Linked DNA regions of Lepisosteus oculatus. The protein of the gene in region 1 interacts with the protein of each later gene in a pairwise test. Links are inferred from orthologs where the notes say so. Each region holds a gene or a part of one and is shown in the gene's direction. Other genes may lie near its edges.

The links.
Region 2: the proteins of cnksr1 (region 1) and cyth3a interact in binary tests that used the Homo sapiens proteins (3 or more experiments, as listed by UniProt). The two-hybrid records come from large-scale screens. The link is inferred for Lepisosteus oculatus from reciprocal best matches to the Homo sapiens genes CNKSR1 and CYTH3.

What each region holds. Positions count from the first base shown.
Region 1 is NC_090706.1:11,006,999-11,022,558, forward strand, and holds the start of cnksr1 (connector enhancer of kinase suppressor of ras 1), read left to right. Parts: upstream 1-6,902; 5' UTR 6,903-7,147; coding exon 7,148-7,199; intron 7,200-10,808; coding exon 10,809-10,966; intron 10,967-14,125; coding exon 14,126-14,328; intron 14,329-15,560. UniProt on the Homo sapiens protein: May function as an adapter protein or regulator of Ras signaling pathways.
Region 2 is NC_090714.1:16,753,387-16,769,365, forward strand, and holds the start of cyth3a (cytohesin-3), read left to right. Parts: upstream 1-9,947; 5' UTR 9,948-10,313; coding exon 10,314-10,332; intron 10,333-11,247; exon of another isoform or gene 11,248-11,474; intron 11,475-15,979. UniProt on the Homo sapiens protein: Promotes guanine-nucleotide exchange on ARF1 and ARF6. Promotes the activation of ARF factors through replacement of GDP with GTP. Plays a role in the epithelial polarization.

The sequences.
Region 1 (15,560 bases):
ATGCCAGGGAATAATCTTCAACAACACCCTTCAGGCTGAGAAAAGACAAAGCTCTATAATAAAAGAGACAATGTAGGCACACTAGGCAGACATTAATAAATAGCAGGGCCTTCTGCTATTCTATTAATCATACTTAAAGAAAGAAAGTGGTTTTTATTATACACTGCTAACAAAAATCTCTCAAGAGAAGAGAAATATTGAAAATTGAAATATAGCACCCATTCACAAGAAGAGTAAGGAACCCAAGCCAATGGAGAATATAATCAGATTACAGTAGAGGACTGACTGTATGGTAGTAGGATTATAAGGGATAGTTGACATGGATTGCAAGAGGTTTGTCTTGCTAACTAAAGCACTTTAGAGTTGTTTGGAGAAGTACTGTAACACCAGCAATGGATGAAAGATGAACACGTTTTATTCTATATTTAGATTTTCAAAAGCCCTTTTATGAGGTTCCCAATAAAAGGATTAATGCTCAGATCAAACACATTGCTTGTGTTTGGATGGAGAAATGACTACTAAAACAGAGTCCAAAGTTTTCATAAATCAGCAAAGTTCCTATGTTAACTTGATTGGCATATAGTCAGTAAACTAGTCAAGTTCACAGCTGAAATAAGAAAATGGGAAGATGAGCAAAGATTGTAGAAGTAGCAGAGGAAATGAAAAAATAACTTGTATAAAATCAAACCTGGTGGAACACCTTCTGGTATTTAATATAGACAACTCGGGAGAACTATATGCAATTATATGCAGTTAAAAAATACAAAGAGAAATTTAAAGGGATATTATGTTACATGTGTACAATACATTAGTAATAACACATTTAGATTTGTGATCAGTACATCCCTGGTCCCCTGGTCTTATACACAGGAATGTTATACACTTAAAATTAAAAGTTAAAATAATATTTTAACATAATATAATTTAAGCAACAACATAAGAAAGAATGCAAGCAATATCAAATATCCAACTTCCGAGTTTGATAGTTTAGTAAATTTAAACTAAGATTTCATCCAGCTTGTTCTTTAAAATGCCAAGAGCTTTGGTCTTAGCCACCTGCCTGGGAAGCGTGTTGTAGATTCCCACAATTCACAATTCACAATTTTTACATTTTGAACAGAGATGACTGCGAAGGGACCTGATTCAAGAATTCCAAAACCCCAGTGGACTAGACCACCAGTAACACACAAATCAGAGCACAAGCAAGTGCAATTCACATGAGGACAGGATGCACCTTTCTGACACAGGTTGTGGGAGTCAGGAACAAGGTATTCTGCAATGGGTTTGAAGCCAATAACCAGGCTTCTTTGATGAAAACTGGACGAGACCCTCAGAATAACTTAACTGTTAGCAACAAATAGGACAGATTGGCACAACGGTATCCTCCCATCTGTGACGTTATTTTATTAAGTATATTTCTCGAGTCTTGAGAGCTGAGTGCAAACCGGTCTGAGCAGAAATTGCACAGAAGAAAAAAGAATGACAAAAATGAAATAATGAATCGCAGTGAGACCTAACTGATCTTCTGTCCCTTCATTTTCTAACTGATTCTTCCAATTCAGGATCTCAGTGGAGCCGGAGCTTATCCTGGCAAGCAATAGGCACACGGTGGGACACACCTTGGACAGGATGCCAGTCCATCGCAGGCAACACACAGATACAGATACACACACTCACGCCAGGGCCAATTTTCCCAGAAGTCAGTTACCCTACCAGTATGTCTTTGGACTGTGGGAGGAAACCGGAGCACCCAGAGGAAAGCCACACAAACACAGGGAGAACATATAAACTCCACACAGACAGCACCCCAGGAATTGAACCCAGGGCCCTGGCACTATAAGGCAACAATGCTTAACACTGTGCCGCCAATGCTACACCAAACTAATATTTTTGTGTTTCAAAAATACATTGAAATCCAGTACAGAATTTCAGTGATGTTGAGAGATTATTCCATCATTACCGAAAGCCTCGAGGAATCTCAGGATCTTCATTCGCATGAGGGTTATGACTCAGCCAGATCAGGATTCCCAGGGCTATGCCACGAGCTAGCATAAATGTGTACTGCGGGCTCCTCACTTCAGACTAGAAATGATGTGAGTTATATCGAATGCTATTTGTTATGGAAACACTATTGAATGCCACTGGGCTAATAAGACTCTCTGTCAGGTTTCTGCAGTTACTTTTTCAAATAGTATTATCTGGAATAAATTCAAATTTTTTTGTGTGTTGACTGGAAGAAGTGAGGCTGCCTCTTTGCATGTCAAAACTGAAAATATACACCCACAGGCATGGTAGGGGTCCAACTGCACCGAGACCCTTTCAGGATAAATGTAGGAAACAGGGCAATACAGAAAACTGGTTAGTTAGGGATAAAATACTGTGGAAGATTTCAAGTCATTTGTGTGATAACTGGGAGAAAATTATTGTTGAAAAAAATAATAATATTAGCAAAGCTACTGTATATGTTCAGCTAGTCCCTAATAAGCAGGATTTACAAGTAGCCATTAATCAGCTCTTTCTAAAAGCCTTAAACAATTTGTGATTAATGAGAGGTTACCTTACGTAATTATTTGAAGCCTAAAATATATGACCATTCAACCAATGAGGCCCAGAGTTCTATGAACAAATTGCTTGCTCCATTGATCATTATGGGTGTTCCTGCTCTTTAGAAGCAGGTACCCTTTGAGACAAACTGCACTGGGGCTCGTCTGCATCAGAGCGATCAAATGTCTTCAGACAATTGCACAAAAAAGAGAAACACGACGCAGGTTCTCGTTCTTGCTTTTGCTTTAGATGAGCTGTAATCTGGCAATCCAAATGAAAGAGCAGCTGTAGCCGGATGGGCAAAAGATCTGCACTTCACAGTTTTGCACTGGCAGGAACGAAACATTCTCAGAGCCTCTGATGGCTGGGAGTCCGAAACCGTTTGGAAAGGCTTTGTGCTGAGGCCGAGCTTGTCTCGACGGGAGGAGGAATGTGTGGAATTTCAGAGCGATTCCCAACTTGCCAGGCAACACCTGGCAGGGTCAGACAGCTGAGACCACAGTGGAGGTAAATGTTGGTACCGGGGGAGGCAGACAAAGCTCTCTTGATAGATATGTCATTTTACCAGAAAAAAAAGAAGCAATGAGAGAAAACGAGTAACACATAACAGCCCTTGTATTAATATTTATAGCTATGGTAGTTACAATAATGGTAGTTATTCAAGGACATATACAACAAATATGTAAACAAGTTTACAAGAAAAATGAATGGCATGATAATAAGGCTGATGGAGCAGCGTGTGGAACAGTGGTTAGCGCTGCTGCCTCACACTGGCGGGGCTCTGTGTTCAGTTCCAGGACCTGGGGTGCTATCTATGTGGCGTTTTACACTCTCTTGTTCACGTCGATTTGCTCTGGGTGCTCTGGTTCCCTCCCAGCAGTCCAAAGACATACGGGTAGGTTAATGAGCTTGAGGTGTGACTGTGATCTTGTCTGTGTGTGTCCTGCAATAGACTAGCGTCCCATCCAGTCCTGATTGTAACGGAACGTTCTTTCAGGACCCTATGCAGACAACACAATCCGGGAGGAGTGAGGAAAACACAGGGGGGAAAAAGCATGCAGGGTTCAGGAATTCAACTAGGGGGCGTGTCCATGGTGAGCAGGTGTTCTGGGGGGTGAGTCCGGGGCAAACAATCCAAAGCAGAGCCCATAGGGAAATCCAAGGCGAGGCAAATGTCCAAAGCCGGGCAGTCCATCCGAGACGAAGACAAACAGAATTAAAAACCGGAACGGGATCCGGTGGATGTGGGGGGGGGACAAGGGGGGAACGGGACCAGGTGCTCCAGATCCCGGACTCGCTTGGTACGGGAACCAATGCAGAGCCCGGAACAGAGTGAGCATCTGGCTTTTAAGGTGGGCTGGATAGGAGGCTGGAACTGGGGGCAGGTGCACAAAATCAAGACAGAAGTAAAAGAGCCGGAGCACCCTTAAGGAGGAGGGACTACAATCGTGACACTGATGCTATCCGAGAAGGGTTCCGACTTCTCGACACCCCTGAATTGGATACTTATTAATAATAAGTCTGACAGAAACGTGAAGAGCAGTGCAGGAGCTGTGCTGGATGAAAAAAAAAAACAGCGTAATGGTATGTCATCTCAGTTCACAGTGATTCAGACCATGAAGCAAATCACATTGCCAGTTTAAAAGTTAAGCACATTGGTGCAATGCAGTGTTAAGAGTGACCAAACAACTAAATTGAGAGCTGAGAGATCACAGGTGCTGTCTGAGCAGGTGGGTCTTGAGCAGTAGCAGAAAGGACAGAGCACTTCTGATTACTGAGGAACAAGGGTGGAGAATGAAGGGCTGTGGCAGTGGGAGAATGCAGAGGGGCCAACGGAAGTCTGGCGGAAGAGGGGGAGTGGAGAGGGGGTATAGGGAGAGATAGGACCCTGAAGATAGGCAGGAGGAGACTGGGTGTGACAGTGAACAGGGGGTACTGAATTGGATGCATGCAACCATAGGAAGACAGTGGAGTAACTACTGTAACACAGCAGTGTGTGAAAAATTAGGAAAAAACAAGGAGATCTGCAGGATTCTGGATGTGTTAGAGTGGGCAGATGGGCTCAAGAGTGAAGAGAGAGTTACGTTAGTCCAGGCAGGAGAATACCAGGGCCTGGACTAGGAGCAGAGTAGAAGAGCTGGTAAGGAAGGGGAGGCTTTTGTGAATTCAAGAAGAACTGGCACGAGAGTTCCATAGAGGAGACTGTGAGACAGGCAGAGATAAATCAGGAGACATGAGTATCAGAGGAAAAAGAGAAGGAAATCTGAGCAGCATCAGTGTATGAAAATCCATGGAGAGACAGCTGCAGAGACATCAAGAAGCGCTGAGATAGAGGGCAGGGAGACAGCTTGAGTGGAGTGAAGAGAATTGATAACAGAGAGGAAAATAAACCTAGCTGAACCTGCGGAATGAAAGCCAGACTGAAGTCTGTGAGTGAGGGCTGCACGAGGGCAGTGCAGAGCTGGCAGTCCACGGCCCGCCAGACGATTTTAGAGAGAAAGGGGAGGGGGAAGACGGGATGAAAGTTTGGATGGGATGAGGGATCAAGGGTATTTTTTTAGGAGGCGTGCAATGCCGGGCTTTTTAGAAACAGAGGGAAAACAGCCTTGAGAAGAGGAAACAGTATAGGGAAGGAGATTCTGGAGGGTTAGGAGTCAGAGAGGAGTGTGAAGGAGGAAAAGCAGAGTCTGGTGGGTGAGGGAGGGGGGTAAACATATTTCTGTTGTGAGAGATATTGTAATGAATATATAGATAGATAATACTTTATTAATCCCGTAGGGAAATTGATGATATATGCATTTATCAATCACAGAGTCATGAATTAATTCGGTAATTAAAACACAGATTCAGTGGAAAACATCTGAGCAAGCATTTGAGGCGGTTTTGTAAAGAAAGACAGCACGAAAAAAATGAAATGTCTAGAGTATCTCTCTCTTCAGCTTGGAAAGGGTTCGTGTTAATTCTAACGGCTGACCCCTTGTTAATGATACTGGAGTACACAATGATAAGCTTATGGTTAATAAACTACTCAGATGGCAGTGAGACCTATAATTTTCAATATTATTATTTATTTGCATAGCACATGGTCTTTTCCAAAGAGATTTGAGTGTTTTAAGCCTCATGACATTGTTCTGAAAACAGACCGACAGGAAAACAAAGCCAACACTAGGTGGAGCTCCATCTCAGCAGGGTTTCCTTCATGATAACCTTGTAAGAATCCCATTCCTTAGCTGCCCTGTAGACTAGGGCAATCCACGAGCACAGGTTGTGATACTCCCCTCTGGACCGGCGTTGTCAAATCCATGTCCCGGGTATGCTGGCTGTTGACACTGAGCTGCGTGTGTCAACTTTGTGGTCCTGCCTGAATTCCACTCTGAGTTTACACAATCTGGCAGACCTGAAAGGTGTCCTTCTAATTTAGTAGGTCAAGAAGACTTCCCCACCTATTGTATCGGAACATAATGGGTGCTGTGCACCCGGGTGAGAGTTGCTCCTTATTGGTCGACAATATTTCCCTGCTGTATATAAAGCGACCCGTCATCTCTGGGGATTGAGAATAAATAGAATGAATCATTATCCGGACCAAGGGTGAATTACAGCATGCGCGATGATTTATATTGTCCCATAGGCAGATTAGCTTCACGATCACCCTTCACCACACACAGGCGATAATATAAACGTCGTGTAGCCCACTTTCTCGGTGGGATTAGACAGGAATTGAACCCTGAACCTTGGTGATACCAGAGCTATGCTCAACCCAGTTCCCTCAAAGAGCTGCGGCAGCCTCAGACCAAAGTAACAATAAAGGTGTGCCTCTTCTTTGGCGCTTTCGTGGGGAAAATGTGGATACCAATTGCTTTAAGAGCGTTAAATAAGTATCATTAAAACAGTATACTGTAAGGTTTTTGAGAAGCTTTTGGGGTTGGTAATTACGAGCCCTGTGCTCTTTCCGAAAATCAAATAAATCATTGGTTTACCCGTACATTTTGTTGAATGACAGTATGCCAGGCGCTTGACAATACTACACGGCGAAGCTAACGCTATAATAATAATAATAATAATAATAATAATAATAATAATAATAATAATAATAATAATAATAATAATAATAATAATAGGCTATTGAAGAAAACTTTTATTAACTGGTTTGATTTCTTGAAGAGACGAAAGCCTTGTTAGTAGGTTGAGTTTTTTCCCACAGTCGCGAAACTACAGTATTAGCCCAGTGAATCAGAATAGAATTTTCCACGCAAATCAAAACAGCTCGCTCAAGACAGAGGTTTGATCATGTAAATAAAACCCAACCCTTGTTCCCAAACTTACGCGCGTTCTCTAGCCGGGGGCTAGAAAACAGCCTAGAGAGAGAGAAGAAAGGTGGAAAAGTAACTTTTCAATTCCCTCCCTCAACGCATAACTCAAGGGTTTGGAGAATTGCTCCAGCCTGTAAGGAGACGTGACAGGGCGTAACATACCGCACAATTGGTCAGCCTGTGTGGATTACCTGCTGGTGGGAGTGCCGTGGGAAAGGCATTTTCCCTGAGGACTTTCGGGAGGGTCTGGTAAGGAATACAGTGGGGAGTTTTAAGTGTCCCGGACACAAGATATGGAGCCTATTGCGTCCTGGAGTCACGACAGAGTTAAGGACTGGCTAAAAGGTAAGTTAGAGCTGGATGTGGGGATCTGATTTATTTTTCTACAAAATCGTGACATGTAACTTGTCAGGAAAACCGATCTAAAACAGCAAAAACATACAGTATGGGACAGTTCTCGTTGGGACTGGAACGAGGAAGTGCTTTTAGTTATGCGCAGGCGTCGGTGCAGTAAACTCAGGATAGACGCACTAGGCAGGGAGCGCACAGACACTTGGCGAGTACTAATTTTTCAATTTCGTGCGAGCAACCGCCCCTCTTAAATTTAAAAAGCACCCCAGCTGCTTTACACTTATACGGACGTTTTATTGATTGTTTGTCAAATATATTTGGGAAACGCTAGTACGAGCAACACGAATGTCAACATGAACTTTTTTGCCCAGCAGGATAGCATGTGGTATGTGTTCAAAGTTCATAATTGGGTTTTTGAATACAGAATTTAGTTTAATTCCTTGTGTCAACCCGCACATTTTAACCCAAACTGAGGTTAAGTTAACAGGTCGTATTTTCCTCATATGCACTAGATTATTTTTCTTCAATGAGGACTAGCTTTTTATTCAGCGTTATTGAAATTTAGGAGACTTTTTATAAATCCCACGTTTTTATTGTGGTTACTGCTAAGGAATTCATTTTTCGGAACTATTTTTGAATTTGCACCCCAAATTTCATCGACACAGTCCGTAATTTATTCCGAAAAGGGTAAAGGTACCCAGTGCCTTCTGATTCATAGGATGAAATCTACAATTTAAAATGAAACCAATGAAACTGGTGATCTGCCTTGGACGTGCTAATGTTTAAAGGACGTTAAAGGTTTCATGAAAGTTTTCCACATTATAGGTCTTAACTTCTCTAAGGGTTATCTGCCAAGAACAAGTTTTTTTTTAGTTCAGGATATACTGGTCTGTTTTTAAAAAGCCTGTTGTGTGATCAGTGCGTCAATCAATCAGCTGATAAAAAGTCACTTTGAATTGCACCCCAGTTCCTATGTCACCTGAAGGGCTGGGGCCAATAACTTCAGTAATAACTTCAGTAAAGGTGACTTTGTTTCAGGACTAGAACTGCAGCTTGTGTCTGGAACGTCCTGGTAACCTTTAACCACATACCCACCTGAAGGCACCTGAATTCTGCTTTGCTGTAAACATGACTTTGAAAAGCATCTGTCTTTAGCCCGTTCTTGACTTACGTTAGACACAAAGTCGAAACTTCGCCAATCCAGCTAGCTCAAGTAAAGTCCTTGTTGCTTAGTAACCAAACGTAAATCCTAAAGCCGTAAAGAAATGTAAGTTCCTGTTCCTGTTTCATTTTCTGTACATAACTCTCTTTAAAACTGCATTGAAAATTAAGTTATAATCAATCTCAAACCTTTGAGAAGTGATTCCATAATTGTTTAAGAAAGCACATACAGTAGATCATTTTTAATTTACAAAACACATATAGGGCCATGTTTCATTAAAAAAAACAACTGGTAAAGTGTTTTTGTTTTATTTCAGAATTCCTTGCCAACAATTTCAGTTTTCTGTTTTATCTTTTAATACCACGACTTTTTTGTCACTAAAATGTAATGTGAAGGTAGTGTAACAGCACTTTAGGGATACAGCTCTTACTGTGATATTGTGTCTGGTTTGTTATTTAAGTAGTAAATGATCTTCAACATCTTTGCACACGTGGAGGTACAGTACGTGATTACGGACACTTAGCTTCTGTATCTCTGTCTTGGTATAATATTCATCGTGGGCCTTGTCAATTGCATTTACTTTTTTATATAATGTGACCTCATTTGTGTGTGTGTGTGGGGGGGGGTCTCATTCCCCTGTGAAAAATCTGTCTTGAGTCTAGTTTTAATGCAAACTCTGATCTGCAGACCATTTGCAATTTACAGACATGGTTTGTGGTGAAGTTTGGCTTCTTTCAAGAGCCAGCTGGATGAGATCCTCCCATCAATTAGCTACTAGTTACCTGTTACCTGTTGGAAAGTTTAATGGGACTTTATTAGCTGTATCATGCTAAAAACGCAGGTTTTTCATGTGTCCACCAAAGTGTGGTAATTTTACTATGGTGGGAAACTGATATATCTCCTGGTATGTGCCAGTGCCACATTAGTGAAAGACCTTTTTTTTACCAGGGTAACAGTTGATTCATCAAATGCCTTGCAATGTGAGTGTCCCCACTTTTTTGTAAACACACCCATCAAACTTGGATTTTGCTTTATCATACCCCCATGTAATCTTTATATTTCTGTTCTAAAGACTGAACCCTGTTAATCTTGACCTGACTGACCACTGTAGGATATGTCTTCATTCGGGCTCTTTGTTTTCAGCTCTTTGACCTCTTTGTAGTTGAATATTCTGTATCTTATCAGAACTATTTTAATATTAGTTTACCATCTAATATTTCGATTTTTGCAATCTTAAGAAATATAACTTGGTCTTGCGTAACCTAGTATTTGTTGTGTATTATAATTTAACACAGTGTACGTTATAATACACTTTCCCCTGTTATAACAATATAAATTCATAATAGGCCCAGTTAAATATTTCTTCTCTTGCCTGCCCTGGCTCAGAGTCATACTGTTTGTGTACAAACAATAGAAAGGTGGCTGAAAGGAAGCTGTGCTCCGGTGTAGGCCCAAAAATGTTCTTTATCTGTTTTTCGACGTTCTTGAGCTTTAGGCAAAGATAAAAAAGGATGAGGAAGTAAACTGCTGAAATGCATGGTGCTAGTCAGCCCAAGGCACAGCTTTCTGATACTGAAATGAGTCTGCTCTGAGGGGCTTGTTGAGTAAATGGATTCCAGTTATCACACATCCTATTTTTTCTGCATTGTTTAAAACCCTTTGATTGCAATGCTCCTGTTGAAACAATAAAAAAATAGAATAACAAAAACCGGGAGTGGTGGTGCCTTTGTTTAGGGTTGAATTCCTCTCACACAAGGGACGAGTTTCCATGCGCAGAATGTGGGCGGTGTTGTTTGTGCTGTTAAGTGTACTGTGGTACAGCATTTTCCTAAGTTGGCAGTGAGTTCCCACTAGTTCCCACTATTCTCTGTATTACTTTTTGTTTTCAGATGCTTAATTGTAGATTCTGCTCCAGTAATAGAAAATGCTTTTTACTCGGGAACGTTATTAATAATCAGCCATTTTGCATTTTATCTCAAGTGGCTTACAGAGACCAAGGGGTGAAATTTACATTTGCAGTAGCGCGCCTGAGGTCATGCCCAGTGCTTCAGAGGTGCGCACTTTACAGAAACGAAAAGTAATGCTCAGATTAGGTCTCAGTGAGTCAGCAGGCTTTTATTTTACCTGAATCCCATAACTGGTAATTCTGAAAAGGGCATCGACTGACTGTAGCCTTTGGTTCCACTGGCTGTGCTGAATTGCCCAGGGCTTAAACAGACCCTGCTTATCACACAGTGCATACCTTGCCTACTGCACCACCTGGCCTCATGCATAGAATCAAATACCTACTGAAGGTGGGCTGATTCTCAAGATGGGATTGTTCCAAATTCAGCTCAGTGCTGCAGTGGAATCTCTTAGTGTGCCTAACGAGGATGGGCATGTAGGAATAGCTGCAGTCTTTGCAGAATTATGTTGCCAATGCTTGGCTGCTGTGCTTTCAGGTTTGGAGCCCAGCCTGCAGCAGTACCCCTTTGAAGAGTGGCACCTGACAGGGCAGGACTTACTGCAGCTGTCCTACAAGGATCTGGAAGGGCTGGGGGTGAAAAAGATTGGCCACCAGGAGCTCCTTCTGGAGGCCGTGGAAAAGCTCTGCTCACTGGTAAACGAAACCCTTTGCCACTTTTATCGATCAGAAAATTATTTTGCCATTCTGTTACAGCATGCACCATCTCTGACTTCGCACGGTGTCTCTGTACACCATGGCCGAGTGAATTCACAGCTCAAGAGTAGTAACATTAACCAGCGGGGACCCAGTTTCAGGAATTGTAGGTAGTCTGTTTGCTATACATTTTCTAAAAATGGGGTTGTGGGGTTTGGTTAGAAAAGGTCATTACTGGATCTTCCTATGATCTACGAGAAATTGGATTTCTTCTTCATTTTACTAATTTAGTTTTCTAGATGTGGTCTAGCAATCACACAGAATGTGCACAGGCAGATTTACCGGAATCAAAATCGGAATCTTAAGAAGTCACAGGTAGTAATTATTTTATCTATTTTTCAGCAATGTAATTTCATGCAATGGTTGCGTGAAAATAATTCCTAGCAGGTTCCTCTTTTAGTCATTTTCTTTGCAGAAACCGATATTAGCAAGTCATCAACCTTTCAGTTTACCTGAATTCCATAATGGCTAATTCTGAAAAGAGCATTGACCGATTGTAACCTTTGGCTCTTCTGGCTGTGTTGAATTTCAAGGCCATAAAGGAGCTACAGAGCATTAAATAGGACAGAGGACTAGTTAGCCATGCAAGTATTTTAACTCTGTGCAGCATTCTGTTTACCCAGCTGTTGCAGGCTTCAGGGTGAAAGATTTACACTCTGCTTCCTTTTTGCCACAACCTGCCACTTCACACATTTAAATCCTTCACACTTTTATTTCTTTTAAAACTGTTTTCACCTTTCCTGTGATAAAAGTAAACAGGTCTTGGCACCTAGTACAATAGCTGACATCAGGTTGTCAGTTGCTCTCATCGCCTAGTCTGTGATTGGAGGAGAAATCTATTTTTCTCAGGTTTCTGAAGAGCTCTTTAGATTTTTACAGAAGTTCACTGTCAAGGACATTACATACCAATGTTAGTCAGGAATATGCTGAGTAGTGGCCCACAAAATATGCTTGGAGCTAAGATAATATCTAGTCCTTTTAAGTTGTTAGTTTATTCTTCTTATTTATGATAATAGCAGCTTTTTATTGCAAGTTTCCAGAATAAAATACAATAAAATATAAAATATATAAATATGTATCTTTCCATTGATTTTCTAACCACTTCATCCAGTTCAGGGTTGCTGAAGAGTTGGAGCCTATCCTGGCAGGCAGTTGGTGCATAGCAAGATACACCCTGGCCAGTCCATCACAGGACACACACAGACACAAACACACACACTCACATCAGAGTCGTTTTTTCCTGTTTAAGTCAGTTAACCAACCAGGAAGTTCTTTGGTCTGTGGAAGGAAACTGGCACACCTGGAGGAAACATGTGAACATGGGGAGAACATACAAGCTCCACATAGATATATGTGTATATATTTTAAATTACGTATATTAATTTCTTCAGTTTCAATAATAAATGAGAAAACATCAAGAGCAAGAAGGCTTTACTTTTTTTTTGCATTTCAAAATAGTGGAAAAGAATTTGCTGAGAAGTGTCAAGGGAAATTGCTTGCAAATTGTTTCCAGGTAGTACAAGCAGAACAAAAATAAATGAAAGGTTCTTTGAGTAATGAAAGAATTAGTCTTCATCTGTGAGTGTCACATGAGGACTGCACTAATGCCCTAATGACGTGGGAACTAGCAAGCTTATCTGATAACGTGTTTCTCCCAGATTCAGAATAAATATGAAAATTCTCCTGTTAAGGCTCTGCTGATTTGGTAAAAATTCGTTTTTAGTTCTGTACTTGTCTGTTCTTCTTATCCTGCTTTACCCTGTGCAGGGTGGCAGGGGGAGCCAGAGCCTATACTTATAAGCAGCAGGTGCAAAGTAGGATACACCCTGTTGTAAACCATTGTGAACCTGGGGAGAACATGCAAACTCCACACAGACAGCACCCCAGGTCCAGAATTGAACCCAGGGCTCCAAAACAGTTAGGCAGCAGTTCAATCCACTGCACCTCCATGCTGCTTGAGAATTTAACCTTTTATTTAATTCTTCATTTGGCTCAGCAGCATACAAGGATACTAAAATTCGAATGTATTATTAGATCACAAAGAAACGTTTTACACTCCTGGAAGTCTATGACGGTTTACCTTCTTGTTGAAAACTCCTTTCCACTCTCCGCTGTGTCTAGTTCTCTGTCCCAAATGACAGGTGACTGGGAGGGCACTGATCTTGAGTGAGAGAATAAAGTCGCACAGACAAGAGACTAGGCACCACGTAGTGATCATAGATACATCTGCCCATGGGTGAGAGGGTCGGGCAGTGTGTCAATCATTTTTTTAGAACTGGGAAGAACCAAAGTTACTATTGTGTCTGCGGCATAATTTGGGACCTTAATCAGAACTGAAGCCCCCAGAAATTGCGGTATACTTCACAAGATGGCGGCTTTCTGTTTGGCTTGGAATGTGTGATTTATAGTTGGGTGTGGGAAGAAGGTGTTGGGGTGAGGGTGAATTGACATGGAGTTTAGACAAAAGCCTCTGAGAGAAAGCAAGACACAGCTTCTTAATGTGACGTCCTATATAGATAGGGACCATCAGTTGTTCTCTACCTCACCCGCCCTTGCAGTAAAGGCCCTTGTTCTGAGTACAGGTTGAGCTCAAGGATCCTGATACTGCATGTCACGTCATAAGCCAGCTTTGACCAGAAGTCTGCAAGCTGCCACATTTGGCGGAGTGCTGGGAAGGGTCGGACTAGAACAGTAAGTTGTGCAATTTCCCAGAAGGCCACAGGCTTGCAGTGATGTCAATGACACACACCAACCCTCCTGACAGGTGCTGTGGAGCACTCATTGTGTCAGAAGATCTCCTTTTTCCATGTGAGCTACAGGAGTCATTGCTGGGAGCTGCTCCAAAAAGTTATACAACTGGCAGCTCCCAGTTACATTAAATGAAAGATCCCCCCCCCCCAAAAAAAAAAACTGTGAAAAATTGACTACCTTGTTCTCGTGGCCAGGTTGTTGCCCCTCAAATAATCAAGTCCATACCAAATAAAACTGTACTCCCTGGCGTCGCCTTGCAAACATGTTAAAATGGGGGATGATGTCTGCATTTCTTGGATAAGCGTGGAGAGCTGACGGCCCGCTGTGTGCTCTGTGTTTTGCGAACAGAATTACGGTATGTCTGGGGAGAGCATGCGCTCGGTGACGGAGAAGCTGCGCGGGATGGCCCACTCCCTCCAGATGGGCATTCAGAGCCGCTGGCGAGTCAACACCTACAACGGCCAATCGGTGTGCAAGCTGCCCTCCGAGACTCTCGTCTGTGTCATCGAGCTCATCGTGGCCGTCAGGGGTTGCTTCTCCTGGCTCAACAGGTATGCTTCTTTTAACGCACCTGCTTGAAGGGACCGGCCTTTTTTCTAGAAATTGTGTCAGTGTAACAGGACTCAATGACACTGAAGTGATATCTCCCCCATGAATTCCAGACAATGTAGGATTCTCCCTCTGCAGACAACCTGGTCTCTGGGCGTTGTGCAGTTTGCCACTGTGACCATGATCAGCTGCTCCCATCACACATGGACTAGTGTTAGAATTGCTCACAGCTCTGCAGAGCCTGAAGTGCATCTATCTGCACATCTAAAAGTAAAGTCTTTTTCATTCAGCTGTTCCTCTTTATGTTAATAAACCAAAGGAGAAGCAGGGAAAACAGGGCTACAACTTCAAAGACGGAGTGACCGAATTACAATCTTCTAAACTCTACATTTCGGGCATCTGGATTGCAGTGATGGTTGTTTGATCATATGACACACTTAAAAAATTTCTGTTCATTAAAATCCCTGAAGTCTTGAGAATCAAACAAAGTTCGCATCTCTTATGCTCGCAGAGAGTCTTTGCTGAGCCACTGGTTGTTTGCCCTTTTTTATTTGAACACAACTTCTCATCCTTGATCCTGTTTAACTCCTACTACCCATCTGCTTTAATAGGGGTCATATTGAGTGTTTTATATTTGCTCTTTATTTGTTTAATTTGTTTTTGTTCAAAAAGGCAATGTTTTGAATTTGCAAATGCAGCTTGCAAGCCAGTCCGTTATTTTAAGGCTCTCCCGACAGCGAATTGCGTAAGACCTAGGGCAGAATGAGGCACATGGCACAGACATGCTCGTCTGACACGCCCACTTGTAGATTCACTTGTCATGTGACGCGCAAGCTTAGCTCCAGTCTTACTGACTTCACTGCCAGCCTTCGGCCTGATAAATCACAGAAGCTGAGTGGTGAGAAAGCTGAGAGCGCTGTAGCACACAAATCCCATCCCTGTACCCTCTGCCAATTGTGAACCACCACCCTTATAAATCCTAAACACAGCTGCTTTGAGTCATGACCCCAGATCAAGCCCACAACATCGGGATAATAGAGCTCAGTGTGATAGAGTATAGTTTCTTTCACCCATCTTATAAATTTAATGATGATCTTTTTGAATTTAGAAATATTCATTTGTGTTAGTATTCATTCATTTATTATTTTATTTTCTGCAGATTTTTTGTTTTTATATAGACACTGTTCTTTTACTGAGGATATATTGGTCTAATTTCCCTTCCTGTAAAATATTG
Region 2 (15,979 bases), on another chromosome or scaffold:
TACTGGAAGTCGTTCAGCAAAAAGCAAATCTGATTTTTATAGTAATCATAATTTGAGGTAAAGAGGAACACAGGGGTCCATGGGAAAAATATTCCAGGAAAATCACTGGGAAGTAACATTTTCCTGGAATTGTGTTCCCATCCTATTGAGCCCTGTGTTCCCATTAACCCCAATTACCTTCCTAATTCAGGGAAATTACTTGTGCTTCTTACAGCGACACAGAAAGTGTTGACAAAGTGTTTCAGTTTCAGACTTGCACCTCACAGACAAATGTCTTCCTCATGACAAAAAAAAGAGAGGAATTGTAGTGAGACCACAGGGTTTGAGCACTGGAAAAGTCAAAAGCTGCTGTTTCAATTTCCGCAGGGACTAGAACCCTCTGGAGAGAGACTGGGGTCGCTAGTGCAAGACAAGACATTGTCCCCCTGGGTCTTGAGACTTGCCACAGGTCAAGTGGAGCCTGTTTCATGGCAGGGCAGTACCTGGAAACCCCACTGGGGCTGAAACAGACCCTGCAGGCAGTTGCCCTAAGCTCCCCTGCCCGACCCCGATTTCCTGACTAAGTTGTTGTTACATCTGCGCGAGTTTAAAAGTTTGATTGTTTTTGGTGCCAATTAAGAAAGCAGCAGATGAACCCTTTACCAGTCGGTGGCTGACGGGAGGGGGCGGATTAAGGTGATCAGAAGCCTCTAGGCTCCCGTGACCAGAAAAAAGCGAGAGAAAATACTGAAATAACGAGTTCGGAGTAAGAGCCGCTACCGCCGATTCAAACGGAACGTCAGCCGGCACTCCCAGGGAACACACACGTACACAGGGAGCCCCAACACACACACACACACACTACAACAGCCTGTAATGCAAGTACAGAAGTCCAACCAATAAATCAGATTCACAGCCCATCTGCGAGCTGACAACAGAAATCATGCGCTTAAAAACCGACGACACAACAACAACAAGATCATCACAGCAGAGACCAGTGAGCTCCCTGTCTGGGCGCGTTATTTCAAGACCAGCGGGACACTCCCCACTCGTGCAAGTCCACTGCAGTCAATAGACTCAAATCAGTCAATACACCGCATCGACGAGCAGATGTTTTTCTACATGGGCTTTCAAGAAGGGATCAAACTCGCTGATTACTTCGGGGACACCCGTGAAGCTCCCGTTGTCGGGGCGCCCCAACGTGTCGCTGCGCCCCTACAAGCCAGCCCTCGCTCTGCTAAAAACTTCACCACTGCAAACACCCTTTTCAAGACTTCAGTCCAATACTCATTGTCAAACTGTCTTGTTAGTTCTGACTCTATTAGACCACTATCAGCGCAGCGAATAACGTTACACGACCACAGCCTTTCCACGGCTCTCCGACACCCCGTGTCCAGCCAGGCGTGCGGCGGTGTTGACCCGGTCACTACAGCCTGCGGCCAGTCCGGACTGGTCATCACCGCCCCCGAATAGTTACATGTGAAACAGAACACTGTACCTTTCGAAGGGGATACGGCAGCCATCCTCTTGGCACACACCAGCCGTTTCAGAGTTTTCTTCTGAAGAGGGTTTTAGAGAAATACCTCTCGGTGTTGATGTGGTCTTTCCGATGCTGCAACATCCGCGTCTCGGTTTTGACGCGATTCCGGGCCCAACTGAGCCCGGCATGCCCGCCGCTGTCCACCTGGTTCACCCCAGCACGCTGGGGCCGAGCTGTAGGCAGCGGGAGCTGCAGGTGCACCAGCACGGCGGCGGCTCGGACATGGCGGCGGACGGCGGTGGCGTTTCGGACGGCTCTGCCTCTGGCTCGTGTTCCTGTGACTCTTTTCGTCTTTGTGCCCCACTGTCATATTTTCTATCGCACATTGTGAGGCTGGCTACCGTAAACGTGCACCAGATTATCACCCGATGAATCCACCGACATAAATTTGAACTGCGAACCCATTGAATCGAACCACTCATTGGTTCACGCATGATTCAACGTTTTTATGGACCAATGGGGGCCCACAGGTCCGTTTAAAAAATACTGTGGCCCTGATCAATCAGGGGCCCCTAGGCTACAGCCTATGCTAGCCTTTTTGTTAATCCACCCCTGAGTGGAAGTTATCCAGGGCTCCCTGGGGAAGGGGCGGGGCTCATGAGGGGCGAACTCACTCTCTGACACAGACAACTCTCCTTCTTAGGACTCAAGAATTCGTAAAAGGCAGTGAATCTGTCGGTCAGAATTGTATTATTGGGCTTGTCTTGTGTTACCTTACAGTGTAGTACCATGAGGTATGTCTTTCCATTCGTTTGAGGAACAGTCTGTGCTTTTATGTGGAGACACTGTGCTTTGTCTTAGAGAGTTGAAAAGTCACGACAGTGCAGAAAAGCAGTTCTTACACCCCTTCAAGGATCCAGACATACAGTAACCTCCTGATCTGCGACAAGGAAGCAACACTTCTTCCAGCCCTGGTGCCGTTTTTAATTGGTGAAGCAGGAGCACTGCTGTACACCAGAGCAACAGAGGAGGCCTGCTGGGGCTCAGATGTCACCCTGGGGTTATGTGTGACTTCCTGGATGAATTTCTGGGTTGCTCCTGGCAGGACAACTGGTCCTGGGGTGGAGTCACCGTGATCCATTTGTCAGCTTTGGATGGGTGGAGGCCCAGAAGTTGTTCTGTCGTTGTGGCACAACATGCTAACCTGTGTGTTGAAGAGCAAGCTCACAAAATGACTCTTTTATATTGCACAGGAACTGAACCATATAGTGATCAGCCCTTGTAAATGTAGCCCTTGCTTTCTTGTAACCCGATTAGTTAACTGTTTGATTCAAATTACTGCCTTAATTGTGCTAATTAAGCGTTGACTTATTATTTCACATAGGCTATGAGAAAGAGTTCTTCCTTTCTTCTAGTTCATACACCATTGTGTTTCAGAAAAACATTGAATTGGTAATATAAACCCTTGTGGTTATTTCAGAAAAGACTGGTTTCGATTTAACAAGGGTAGGATGTTAAGAAATTTTAATTCCCATAATTATATTAGGGTTGACAAACATTTTCTTTTACTCTTGGCTGTGTGCACAATTGCCAAGATCTCTACATCTTGGGGCGCAATTCTCTTTTCCTTGAACGCATTACTGCTCTATTTTTATCTTTCTTAGGCTTTTTATGATTTCACATGGACATAATCAGAAAATATCCGCATTATTGTAGTTTAAAAACTTCGGAGGTTTGAAAAAAAACAATTCTTGCAAACACAAGTAAAAAAAAGAATGACCAACAATGACCACAAACGTGTGTTTCATCCACAAATCTACAGGTCTTGCGAAAAGTATAATAGTATACAATAACAGAAAAGATAAGCATGGCTATTGTAGGAAAATACTGACGTGACCTGATTCCTTTTCGGTTACACAGCCTTTCCTTTATTTCATGTGACTAAGCTATAATCACTTCCCAGGAGATGGAATGTTTGTGCAGTTATCAATCTCTCCCTTCTGCTCCTATTTTCGTTCTCTTTTTCATCCTCTTTTGCTCCCTGTGCCTGCCTTTTTCTTTCCTCTGTCTCTTCTCTTCTGTCTCTCTTTGCCCTTAGCCTCCTGTGCCTTTTCCTCAGCCACCGTCCTGTCTCTCTGTGCCTCTCATCTCTGTCTCTCTCATGACAGGCCAGCACAATGCCATTTACCTCCTGCTCTGTAAACTGATAACATCGTGGAAAAAAAAACGAGCTGTCCCTGGCTGACTGGTCCCTGTCAGAAGATATCAGTGAGAGGAAAAAAATTATCTTTAGACGAAATGCAAATAATTCTTCCAGTATGAACCTGGCAGAGGACACTACATCTGCAGCACTGGCTCTGCAGAGTCACGGTCCTGTACTTTTTATAGATCACATCAATGAGGATGTTACTGTCAATTTCCCAAATAGTTTGTCGAATTACTGTAGGTCATTATGCTTCAGCTGGGACAAAAGGAGATCAGGACCATGCAGGACCATGCAAGTACAGACACCTTTTGCTTAGTTGATTTAATGAAGTGAGTAAAAATAAAAATCAAGGAGATGCATGAGAAAGAATGTACAGTAGTGCGTCTTGCTAATTGCTTTATTCACCTTAATTATTCATTAAGTAAACAAAAGTATTTGGTAAAGACACTAGTTTCTCATAAGACAGTGGCAAAACAATGTACCGAAACCAGTCACGTGCTAGGGGTCAAGACCCAGAGAAGAGCAATATAATGGAAGAAAATGAAAAATAAGTACAGTCAATGATACATCACACAACGTAAAGCTTCGTGACGCTGTGACCTTGCATTTCTCACGACAGATGTGCAGGTACCATGAGAGATGTACCACACACCAAGCTAGCTGTCTGAAGCCAGAAAGGCAAACTCCTCCATTGCAGATGACCCGTGGGACTGAATTTTAATCAGGTCAGAGATTACCCATTCCAAAATCTATCGACTGTCGACTCCGAACATCACGGACCTCTTCAAACTTCAAAACGAAACTTCATCTACACAGAGAGAAAACACACTCCCCACTTGCAGAGAGAGAAGACAAGTTTCCTCGGTTTCGTTAACAAGCATTGTGAAATTAACTTTTGACTTTGCGGTACTGTTTCCATGACAACTTAGAATTGTGTTAGTATTACATTGCCGTTTTGTTGCTGTAATATTATTTTATTTTAATATTTAAAAACAAATGCAGCAGAATACATGAACGACCTCAGAGTTCAGACTAGAGTGCTGACAACCGCACTGAAAACTGCTCGCTTTGTGTTTCATTAAAATGCTAATCTACTCATCAAGTGGTTTAGTCATTTGAAAAATTTCTTGGGTTTTTGAGTGTTTAAGTACAAATGCTCACAACAGATGGCTGGGGGGGTCAGTGCTTCACTCTACGAGTGTGTGTTAAATGGGACAGTTATTAAAGAGTTTTTCCCAAGAGCAACATTATGCTTTTTCTGTTTTGGGCACTGCAAAATAAATCACAACAATAATCCTGAACTCTGAAGAGGAGAAAGGGATCCTTGTGTTATTTCTTTTCATCGTGTCTGCATGGTCTCAATCCAGCTCTTTCAGAGATTTGGGTACAGATTGCTCTGGAGCTGAGACCACTCTGGCAGCCTGTCTTAATCTGCATGAGCAGCTGATATCATCATCGGCGGCACAGATCACAAAGAGTCTGAACTGGGGAGGCAGACAGCAGACATCCCTAAATCGCAGGAACAGGAGATAACCGGAAGGTGGTCTCAGTAATGGCAGTCTGTGTGTCAACTGGCTGTTGGTTTTATATGGACTAGCATGATGAGCTGAGGTCATGCAACTAAAAAGGAGCCTGTGGTCTCAACTGATTCTGAAATACCAACACAGGAGGAGCTGGCAGAGGTCTCTGCTGGTTTGCATGTGGGGAAACATATGGTCAATGTGTGACAGAATAAAGGCGTTCTTTTCCAGAAGCGCGCTGTGATCCTGAGAGTGTGCGCTGTGGCCAGGCCCTTGTAAGTGTTTGGTCTAATTTTGACACCATGTTGAAAAACTATTACTGGGTGTAATCCCAGTGGGTGTCAAAAGGTTGCTTTCACAGTCTGAGCCATGCAGTGGATGTGATGCTGAGCCAAACGTATCTGAATGGACTGTAGTTCGGGGCAGCAAGAACAGGGCTGTATCCAGTTTATAGACCACGGCCGCAGCCACCAGAGAGCATGGCTGGGAGATCTTCACTACATCCACAGCACTCCATAGGAGTTCAAGTGACACAACAGTCTGCTCCACTCTGTAAGACGCTACCAGTTCCTTAATTATGTCATTCATAATTAGCAGGATCACTATGACATTCAAGGCAATGGTTTTATTAAGGTACCACGATGAAGTGGATTAACTCTGAATGTCCCCCATCATAACCAAACAGTGCTGACTATCTGCCCTGATGCTTTCTTAACAAATGTGGACTTCTTTTTTACTCAGCCAAAGAATCAATAGGCTAAAACCTTTTTTTCACGAATACTGGCACCACTGTTTCCTTGGCAGCAGTAAACTGTAAGTGAAGGACTATTTTTAGGCCTGGAAATGGTAAAAGGGTGTGAGACGCTGGGCTGGAGTCTGGCTCACGGCAAACGTCCCTCGAGCTCCTGAACTTGAGGAGCAGATGAAAGAGAAAGCTAGAAACCAGGGGGTTCAGTGTGTCACTGTGCTGCCCCGTATCCCGGAGCAGGAGGGAGGTTGAAACGGCATGCCAGCGAGCCAGAGGCGCTCCAGCAGGAAGGATATGACCGAGGGAGTTTATTTATGTACAGCCTGGAAAGGTGGATTACAGTGACAGTGACTGTGGTGACCGCTGCTGTACGTGCTCTGTGTCAGAGGCCTCGTCCCCGGGGGGGGGGGGGGGGGGGCAGCCTGACTCAGGCTCCGTCACAGAGACCCTGCGGACCCCCGCCGCCCCCAGCCAGCAGACCCCTGTGCTACAGGGCGTCCTCAGCGAGTGCAGAGGCGCATTCTGACCAACCGACTTCTGCCGCTCTTTACTCTGCAAACTCAGGAGCACAACCCCCCCCCTCCAGCTACTGCAGTTCATCAGTCTGGGAGCATGAGGGGAGGGCATTCAGCTTCAGCCATGTTCCACACTCCCACCACCCTTTGGGTAAAGAAGTGCCCCCTGGTGTCGTACATAAAGCCCCTATTCTTTCTGAAACCGCAGGGCGGGGATCTGGACTGTGCACCATTCAGCCCCACCTGGACACAGGGACTCCAGCCAGCCGGGAGCACAGACTTGTTTTGTTTCTCCTGAGCATGCCGTCTCCTCTCAGTTTCTAAATGAGCACCTTGTGGTTTTCTCAGAAGGGCGCCCGGCTCCCGGGGCATGACGCAGAGCACTTCTCCCCAGGAAAGGGGAAGGGCCCTCTGGAGCTTCCCCTCGCTCTCCGGTAGCGGCTGTCTGATCGCTCCTCGCTGGAAGGTATGAGCTCACTGCTCCGGCCAGCCCCCTGCTGTCCCTGTCCCATTCCTGGAAGGACACCGCTGAGCCGCCTCGGAACACATTCCCCGCTGCTCCGTGCCTGGGGAGTTCCTGGCGATTCTGGCCTGTTTCTTCTCTCAGATCTGAACACAGATGGGGAGACGGAAAGTGGAACGCACTGATGCTGCTTTCCTTGGATCGAAGGCACTCTTTTAAAAATACTTAATGTCCCGGCTAGTTCGTATGAACAGAAACACCCCTCCCCTCTTCGCCTTTCTGGTCGCCGTCTGCCATCCTGGATGTAACATGTACAAGTACAAAGGAGCAAAATCTTTTTTTAAAAAACCCCAACAATTAACGATACTTTATCATTACTTTGGCAGAATGGCCGCTGTGTGTCTCCCAGGTGGGAGTGCAATGCCGTACTTTCACGCTGGTCTACCTGTTGGGAACAGATCATTGGCTGCTGTTCTCTGCTCTGATTTCCGTACCCCACGCACACTCCCGCACACGTGAAGATTGAGGAAGTGTAAGCAGACCACTCCCTTTCCCCCTTCGAGCCAATCGTCTTTCGGCACGTCATCACCCCCCCGCCCTCCCAGGATGCTCAGCTCTGATTGGAGGAGAGGTGTGTTGCTCACCATTTGCGATGGTGACCCCCGGTCACAGTTGGCTGGTGACCTGAGCTCTGCTCAGGCCTGTCAGCTGAGCCATCCGGTCCCTCGAAAGATCGTCTCTCAACTAAAGCGGCTCTGTCCTCCTCTGTTTGCCTGTTGTAACATGTGGCACAGGCTAACAGATCACAGTGGAAAACCAGGAGGAAAATGAAATAATGCTCTAACGCTGTCACTGATGGTCTGTCTCCGATGCCAACCGGGAGAAAGCACGAACAGCACAGACAACCGACTCTAGTGAAAATGACTGCGGAGTGTGTTTGGGTGCTAATCGGTTTAGCACAGCAGTCTCCCCTCTAAGGGCAGAGGAAGGAACCGATTTCAGGTTTCACTGGATGTTCATCCATCTCGCAAGGCAGCCAGAGTTCATTTAATTTCTGCTGTCCTGGAGGCTGACTACGAATTTGCAGTGCTCCTTCGCTGCCTCTTGATTTTATTGCAGGCCGCAGAATGAATCTGATTTTTCTAACAAATGCAGACTCTGGTGATTTAATAACAATAATGACCACATGAGACTACTGCACATGAAACCTTGCCTGTTTCTCTCTCTCTCTCGTGATGAAAAGGGCACATTCTCAGAGAGAATGTAAATTAGACCCCGGAGCGGGCGAGGGGACGGGTTTGACCATTTACAAAACAGCCCGAGGGGCATGAATGATCCTTTCTTTGGAGCCACAGCTCTTTCTCTCTCTCCATTCATGCCAGCTGTCGGCCTGTGAACGGGCTAATTCTGCTCCTGTTAACCAGAGGCCACCGCCGAGCTGCAGTGACTAATTCACCGGCCTTGGCCAGGAGCGAAAGACTTCAGGCCCCGACAATACAGGCGTTTGAATCTGCTGCTTTATATTCCAGCCAGGACAGAGGACAGCACAGCCCCTGAATGGCGGCCCTTCATCCTCCCAGCGGTCCCCGTCGCTGAAAGGGCCCTGTTGGCTTTCGCTCCGAGGAAGTCAATAACCGACTCGCCGGCGTGAAACGTCCCGTGGTTGAAGACATTAGCAGGGTGAAAGAAGACCCAACGGCCGGGGGGGGGCAGCGTCTGAATCAGCTGAACGTCACCGTGGGCTGCAGAGCCACACACGTCGAGCTCCTCAGTCGCGTGCCGCATTCACGTCGTGCCCAGGGGGCGTCTGCGGCCTCGCTCGTACACTCCACTGGGCTGGCCCGTCGTGACAGTGCCATCACGGGTATTTCCGCTGCGGATCCCCGGAGGGTGAGCAGCTGTGTCACTGGAGCCGTGCGGCTGGGCTGGGCCGGGCCGGGCCTGCTCAGGACAGGGAACCACTCACCGCTGTCAGTGGTGTCAGTGGTGCTGGGCAGCCAGCAGGTGGCGCTGTTCCTCTGGAGCACGGTTTCCGCGCTGATGTCCCCAGGGTGGTGACTTGGGGACACGGTTTGGAAAAGATCTGAAACTTTAGGTCCTGACTGCTTGGTCGGATTGTCATTAAGATGAGATAGCTGGGGCCACAGACAGATTTCTGCTATTGCAGAAATGTGGAAAGGTGAGAGAAAACCACCCAACTGTGAAGTATTCGATGGGGATATTGGCCCTTTAGACTCATAAATTACTCAAGATATTTAAACACATAAGGCCACATAAATACAATCATGAGTGTGAATAAATTGTGCAAACAAACTGCAGCCTTTCTTGATATAAAGCGACAGATCTTGGGAAACGCCAGAGAATTTGCAGAAATGCAAATCTTCACAATGTGCGCCGGTAAAAAAAAAGCAGATAATTTTTATCATAGTCATAATGATATGCAATAACTCCATGCCTCTACTTTCAGTTTGTGATATAAATATATTTGCTTTTCATTTGACGTACATGTTACGATCATCAGACAGGTTAATCAGATGTGCCTTTCGGCACTACTAACCGGTTTGATTACGACTTAGGAATTGATGTAAAAAACGTATTCAAACCACTTGTATACATTTCACTTGAGAGGCACAGCACTGAAAATACCCTTCGCCCGTGCACTGGTCACGTTTAATACAGTCAATACTCATACCTATTGCTGTAAATGGAACGGGCTGTATTTGAATTTTAATTTCTGATGCACACCTCCGAATAACAACGTACACCCCCATACTCGTGTCATTACAAGGCGGGCGTCTGTCAATATCTCTCTCCCTGTGTGACACTGCATCCTCCAGTCTCACCAAACCCCTAGAGTCCAATAATCAAGTGCGATGCCGTGATGCAAATATTCTGTCAGTTTTTAACGCAGTAGGATCACCACCACACACACCAGCCCCCGGTGTCTCGCAGACGAGCGGCCCCGCGCGTCACGTGCCGGGGGCCAGGCCGCGGCGGGGGCGGGGCCGGGCGGTGACGTAGCCGCTAAGCGGAGCGGCGCCGGTGGAGGCGGCTCACACATAGTGGACCTGCACGGCGCTCCGCCTGCGTCTCGCCGCTGCACAATTATTTAAAACACTACTTGAACGATCTAGGATCTATACCTCCGATTAAGGCGATCCCGCAGCTTCCGGACGTTTGGTGTTAGTTGAATACGCTCCAGTTTCAATACATACAAATTATTTTTGTGTGTCTGTGTGTGTGCAGAATCCCTCATCCGCCCGGCGTTAAGAGGATTGATTCTGTACTTGCTTTTTTTCGCAATTGAATCCGGCTGTTTTCCTCTGAATTATTTTCTGTCCTGGGAGGTTTAAGAAGGTTTTTGTCTCCTCTGTGTGGACTTTGTACTCCTTCCCGATAGACATGGAAGAAGACATTTCGGGTAAGCGATGTGCGGTGTTTTGTTGTCTGTCACTGTGCGGCAGCTTGTTGGCGTGTGGTGTGTTATGATATTTCTCAAGTGTTATAGTACAGTGCAGCTCTGTGTATGATTTTAACCCTTCGTTTGTTTTCTGAACTAACAGTAGCTGTCATTCTGAAGGAGGACTGTCGTAGGTTGTTGAAATTAAGTTTTTCCTCGCAAATACCGCTTGATCGCTAACTCACGATTATTTTCCAACCGTATTTTGTTATAGAAGTGGGCGCACCGGGACAACGTTTGTTTTACAGACTATTAATAGGCTCTCTCCTCTGTTATCTACAGTATATAAGTACGTATATCCGATATCATTGGATACTCTGTTGTCCTTTTAAAATGCTCTACAGCTTGCACAGAAAGTAACCGTCAGATAAGAGAACAGAACTGCTTTTTTCCCGTAAATGACGTTTGACATCTGAATTCAATTACATTCCTGGGAGGAACATGTCTCGCGCCCCTCCTTCTCCCCGCACATCTGGATTTCCAGCCAGTGGCGGGTATCTGCATCTGCAGACCCCCCCCGGTGGGGGGCGGTCGGGGGCAGCTCTTGGATTCACAGTGGGGCCGCTCCAGTGTGGTGTCGCCGCTCCGGTTTTGAGGTTTGGATCCTGAGAGAAGCCGGAGTGAAAGAAGAAAGCCCTCCAGCTCCGTTCTTTCAGTGATGAAAAGGTGTTCTGTTCCCTAACACCCTGGACACAGATTCAGCTGTCTCCGTAAAGGGTCTGCACTTAGCCCAGACCTCCGCAATTATTCTTATACGTTTATGCATAATCATAATAATAATAATAAATTCCTTATACCTGTATAGTGCTGTTCTACACAGCACTCAAAGCGTGTTACAGGTAATGGGGACTCCCCCCCACCTATGTGCAGCCTCACCTGTGTGATGCATATCCGACCCGTTTTTAGGACGTGAACGACGCATTCCTCTGAATCCTACACGGATTCTCTCTGAACCGTCAACGCAAACCTCCCGCTGCGCATGAAATCGATGCGAACGCGTCAGTCCTGTTGCGCCAGGCTCCGTGAGCGTCGACGGGAATGCAGCTGTAGCACGCGTTTGAATTGAAGGCTGCGATCTACAGTATAATTGAACGGGCTGGCGTGGCACAGGAATGGATGTGCTGTAGTTGCAATGTATCTGTTGCATGGCGCGGAGGAATATGACATCAGTGCTCCTCGCCTCTTTGCGGGGGGGGAGGTGGAGCGAGCGGTGTGCACAATTCCGTAGCTATAGCCCAGATCCCAAATCCCCCTCAAGCCCTTTCTTTCTGAGGCACCGTCAGGCAGCGCTCGTGTCTCTCAGCTCAGTTCAAAGCGAACGCGCAGGCAGCTGCAGGACTCGCTCCGGTCTGCGCCTCGCCAGCACGATTTCACGGGCAGGATCCCGCTGATCGGCAGTTCGTTTCTGTGGCTGATAATCCGGCCGCTGTTGCCGGCGATGGGGTGATAATACCGTTCCCCCCGCTAGCTCACGTGTACAGCAGTTATTCACGGGCACGTGCCGTGTTACTCTCGCAACTCGGGTTTTGTCATTTTAACATTTTGTTCCCCCCCCAAGTCCTGAGTTTATCGCAGTAAGAATTTCATATCAAGAGCCCGAGCTTTAGTAAGAGTTAACTTGCGACACTTTTTCATGGATTCGTTCAAAACGACAAGGGGAGAAAAAGCGTGACAAAAAAACCCATTTCATTCCTCCGCCTCGGGTCAATCCACTTCCTCAACAGTCCTGACCTTTGGGCTGGAGCTCAGGAAGGGGCCCGTGTGGAGGTCCGGCCTGTCCGAGCTCACCGGGACCGCACCAGCAACTCCTAGCTTACAGATATGAGCCTTAGGAAGAGCGCTTAAGGGAACGTGTTTCATCAACACCTTTGATGAAAAAGTGATCAAAGGAGTGCAGAGCTGAGGGGCCATTTTGGGCATCTTGTCCTGAAAGGATTGAAGAAGCTGCCGACTGTAATCAGGAGGTCAGCAGGGCCCAGGACAGAGGCCAGTGGGCTCTCAGCGAGTGGTTGGCAGTGAAGCCCAGTGCTGAGACAGGGCCTCTGCTCGTCACGCTGACTTCCCGAAGGGAGGCTGGGGCACAGGAGGAGGAGTCTTCGACTGCCCTGGAAGGGAGAGGTTTTCCAGGAGCCCAGGCTGCCTCTGCACGGCCCGCTTGACGCTCAGGGCGATTCATGGAAGCGCCTCCTTGAAGATCTCCGCTGGGACTGGTCCCCTCTCCTGCAGCAGGAGCGGTTGGTTCTCCCCTGCTGGTGGGTGAAGGCACAGAGCGCTCTTTGTGCTCTGGGAAGAGGCTCCCCAGGGGCGGGAGAGCCCTCGGTCTTGTGATGGGCACTGCCGCGAGAAACCACGCGTAGGACCGTGGCAGCACCAGCCCAGGTCCCTGAGGCACCTCCCCCTCGAGCGCGAGGGCGACGCTGTGGTGCCAGTCTGTAAGGAGCACAGGAGGGCTGAAGCCCTCAGTGCCGCCTGATCCAGGCAGAGCCCCAGCTTGGAGGTCAGAGACTCTCGTGAGTCCGCCCTGCTCGCAGACCTGAGCTGTCTGCTGGTTCACTCCTCCTCCTCCTCCTCCTGACCTACTGCCAGGAAGATGGATCCGGGGTGCAGCAGGACAGTGGGGATCGAGGGGCAGGGAAGAAGCGAGCTCTCCGCTCCCGCGGGGCCGCTGACAGGTTCTGTGCCGGGCTAGGCTTGTTTTCTGCTTGCTGAGAGGGGCACCCCTGGCATGGGAATCGAGCCCCTGCTGGCGCTGGCGAAGTGGACCGATGAGACGTCGATAGGCCGCGAAGGAAGCGAAACTCCGTGACTAAGTAACCAGCACAGTTTTTTTTTTATGAACCAAAACTATGCTAAGAGCCGGTTTTTAAAACGAGGAATCTGACAGGAGCTCTCTCACGCCGTCGTCTTCCATCAGGAACAAGCGCAAATCAGTGTTCCGGGTCTCAAGCTCCCAATTCATGTTTCTTGCGGGAGCTCTTTTCAAGCGAGGTGATAAATTGCTGGCAGAGCCGAGCCATTTGGTAGCGTGCCGTAAATTACAGGGCGCGCTCTAACCCACACAGCGAGATCACAGGGCTTGTGAGGCTCTCTTGTCTCGTTCCACTGAATTTGTGAGTGCCTGGGACGATTTAGGCCATAACCTTGTGAAAATACTGTTTTTTTTTTAAGACAACGTGAGAGAGCGCAGAACGGGACGTTTTAGCCTAGTAAACGTGTAAAAATAAATAAATAAAAACAAGAGGCATGAAGGGAAAGAGTCCAATCAGAGCCTGGTCTAGCCCTCTGAAAAGCCCTGTTTTCTCTGGAAGGCCTCTGCCTTTTTCCTGCACGTGCCTGGGTCTCCAGCTAAGGCCCTGGGAGGTGATGGCTAAAAAGTGAAGCAACAGGACAACGGATTCAAAAGGATGGAAGAGTCGGTGACATTTGGATGGTATGGAGCCCAGTTTTAATGCCAGCCAGTTACTCACTCTTCCCACACAGCCGCTGAGAGCCCTGCGCTCCATCAGGGAGAGTGGGCAGTAGTTGTACTGGGTCATTGGGGTGGCTGGCTCATGACAAAGCGCAGGTCTGCTGAAGTGGCGGACTGCAGGGCGGTGTGTCCCTCTGCCAGTCAGCCCGGTGGGGGGGGGCTGTGCACGCCTGCCGCGGGTTCAGCTGTGACAGCTCGGGTCCCAGGGGCCGCAGAGAGCCGCGCGTCGGCCGCCGTGTCGCTTCTGCGTACTCCCTACGGCTGCGGGCAGTTTCAGAACAACAGCTTCCACTCGTGAACCTGACGACAGGAGAAATTCAGAACTCTTCTGGGCTGGGTTAAAAAAAACAAAGTGTTCTGCAGCGATGTGCTTGTGTGTTTGCAGTCCCCGACGGCGCTTCTGCATGTCGGATCGTGGCCGTATCGCGCGGTCCTGTCGGGATTGATTTACATGGAATTTTTTGTCGACGGCTGAACATGTGTTTAGCGAGACCTTGACGCCTTGGGAGCTGTGGGAGTTTTCCCTGGGGAATTCTTCTTTATCTTTCAGGGAAATTTAGCAGATAAGGGCCACGTGGACGTTCAGCTTCACCAAAATAGTATAGAGAATTATTATATGTAGACTGTAGGTGGGTGTGATACTTTACAAGAACCGTTTTCGATCAATTCTCTTATTTTTGGCTCAGGAATCAGATTATGAGTGCTGTTAAGCTCAGTTTTTATTTCATGACTGAAAGTTCTCCTTCCAGAGAAAATGGACATTTTCTCTTATTATTATTCAACTGCCTAACTGATGTCTGTAAATTGTCTCAGTGGGCTTTTTTATCCTGCTTTGCTCCCAGTACTAAATGGCTTTCTTAAAACGATCAGTTCTGCACTTATTATAATTTTCCCCTACATTGTGAAATGTTTAATTTTCTGAAAGAATAAAGAAAATAACATTCAAGTAGTAATTATCTCTTGCATTTCCCAGATGCAGTGGTGAAAGTAAGATTCTAGAAAGTGCCCCATCCATTTTCTTTTTGTCTTGTTCAGCATTTTTCCAGCTACAGTATGTTGGTAAAAACAGTCAGCACCATGATCACAGAATGACATCATGACTGTCTGTACTGTTCTATGAAACTTACTCCCATTGTACGGCTGTACTCCATTCTCTTCCTGTTTCTGTTTTTAGTTTTGCATTGGCAGAAGTCAGAAATCCCAATACTTCTAAATACATTAATTCTCTGCCTCGGCAGAACTGTTTATACAAGAGCCTGCAGGTTGTAAATCCTGAAGTGGATCAAAGCTCTGTGCAAAGTGAGTTTTAATTTGTTTCCTGTTTTTTTATTGCGAAAGGATCTGGAAGTGTGGTTCCTCATTAGCATTCCTTTGATCACTTCCTCGGCCTGCTGGTTTGCATTTTTGTGTTTCTTCATGTCACAGTCCGGGCTGGCTTAGACGTGAATCGCTCAAGACAGCAGCTGCACCTAAGTGGGACGCTTGGATGCAAGTCTCCTCCGTCGTGATTCAGCCACCTGGACTTTACACACAGACAAATAGCGGGGAGCTGCAGAGTTTGTCCGACCTGTGTTGTTGACGGTGGTTTGTGTACAGTTTCGGTCAGCATGTGAGATACTGCTGCTCTGGAATGGGTCCAGAGGAGGGCAATCAGGTGCATTCTGGGGCTTGAAAGAACGTCCTACGAGGACTGGCTGGAGGAACTGGACCAATGAGGTTACCTGGGAACCTGATAAAAGTATTACACATCTGACAAAATCAACCCAGTGCACTTCTTTAGAATCAACGGGGAAACACGAGCCAGGGGACGCATGCAGAAACTACAGGGAAGTGCATTTACAACCGAAAACAGGAGGCTGTGTTTTACCCAAAGGGTGGTGGGAGTGTGGGACAAGCAGCCCAGCCATGTTGTTGGAGCTGGTACCCCTGTGCTGGGGTATCTCTCCCGTGTCTCCACAGACACCTGAAGTGTAATGAAACCGTATAGCTGGCCGAGTGATACTGCCGTGTCCAGCTGGACTGGGGAGCTGATCTTCTTCCCGGCAGCCGGGGGGGCTGAGTACAGGCAGGGCCGTCCCCAGGGCCGGCGTCCCGCACGTGGAACTCGTTTGTGGGGGCGGCGCTGTCCCCTGGGGGGAC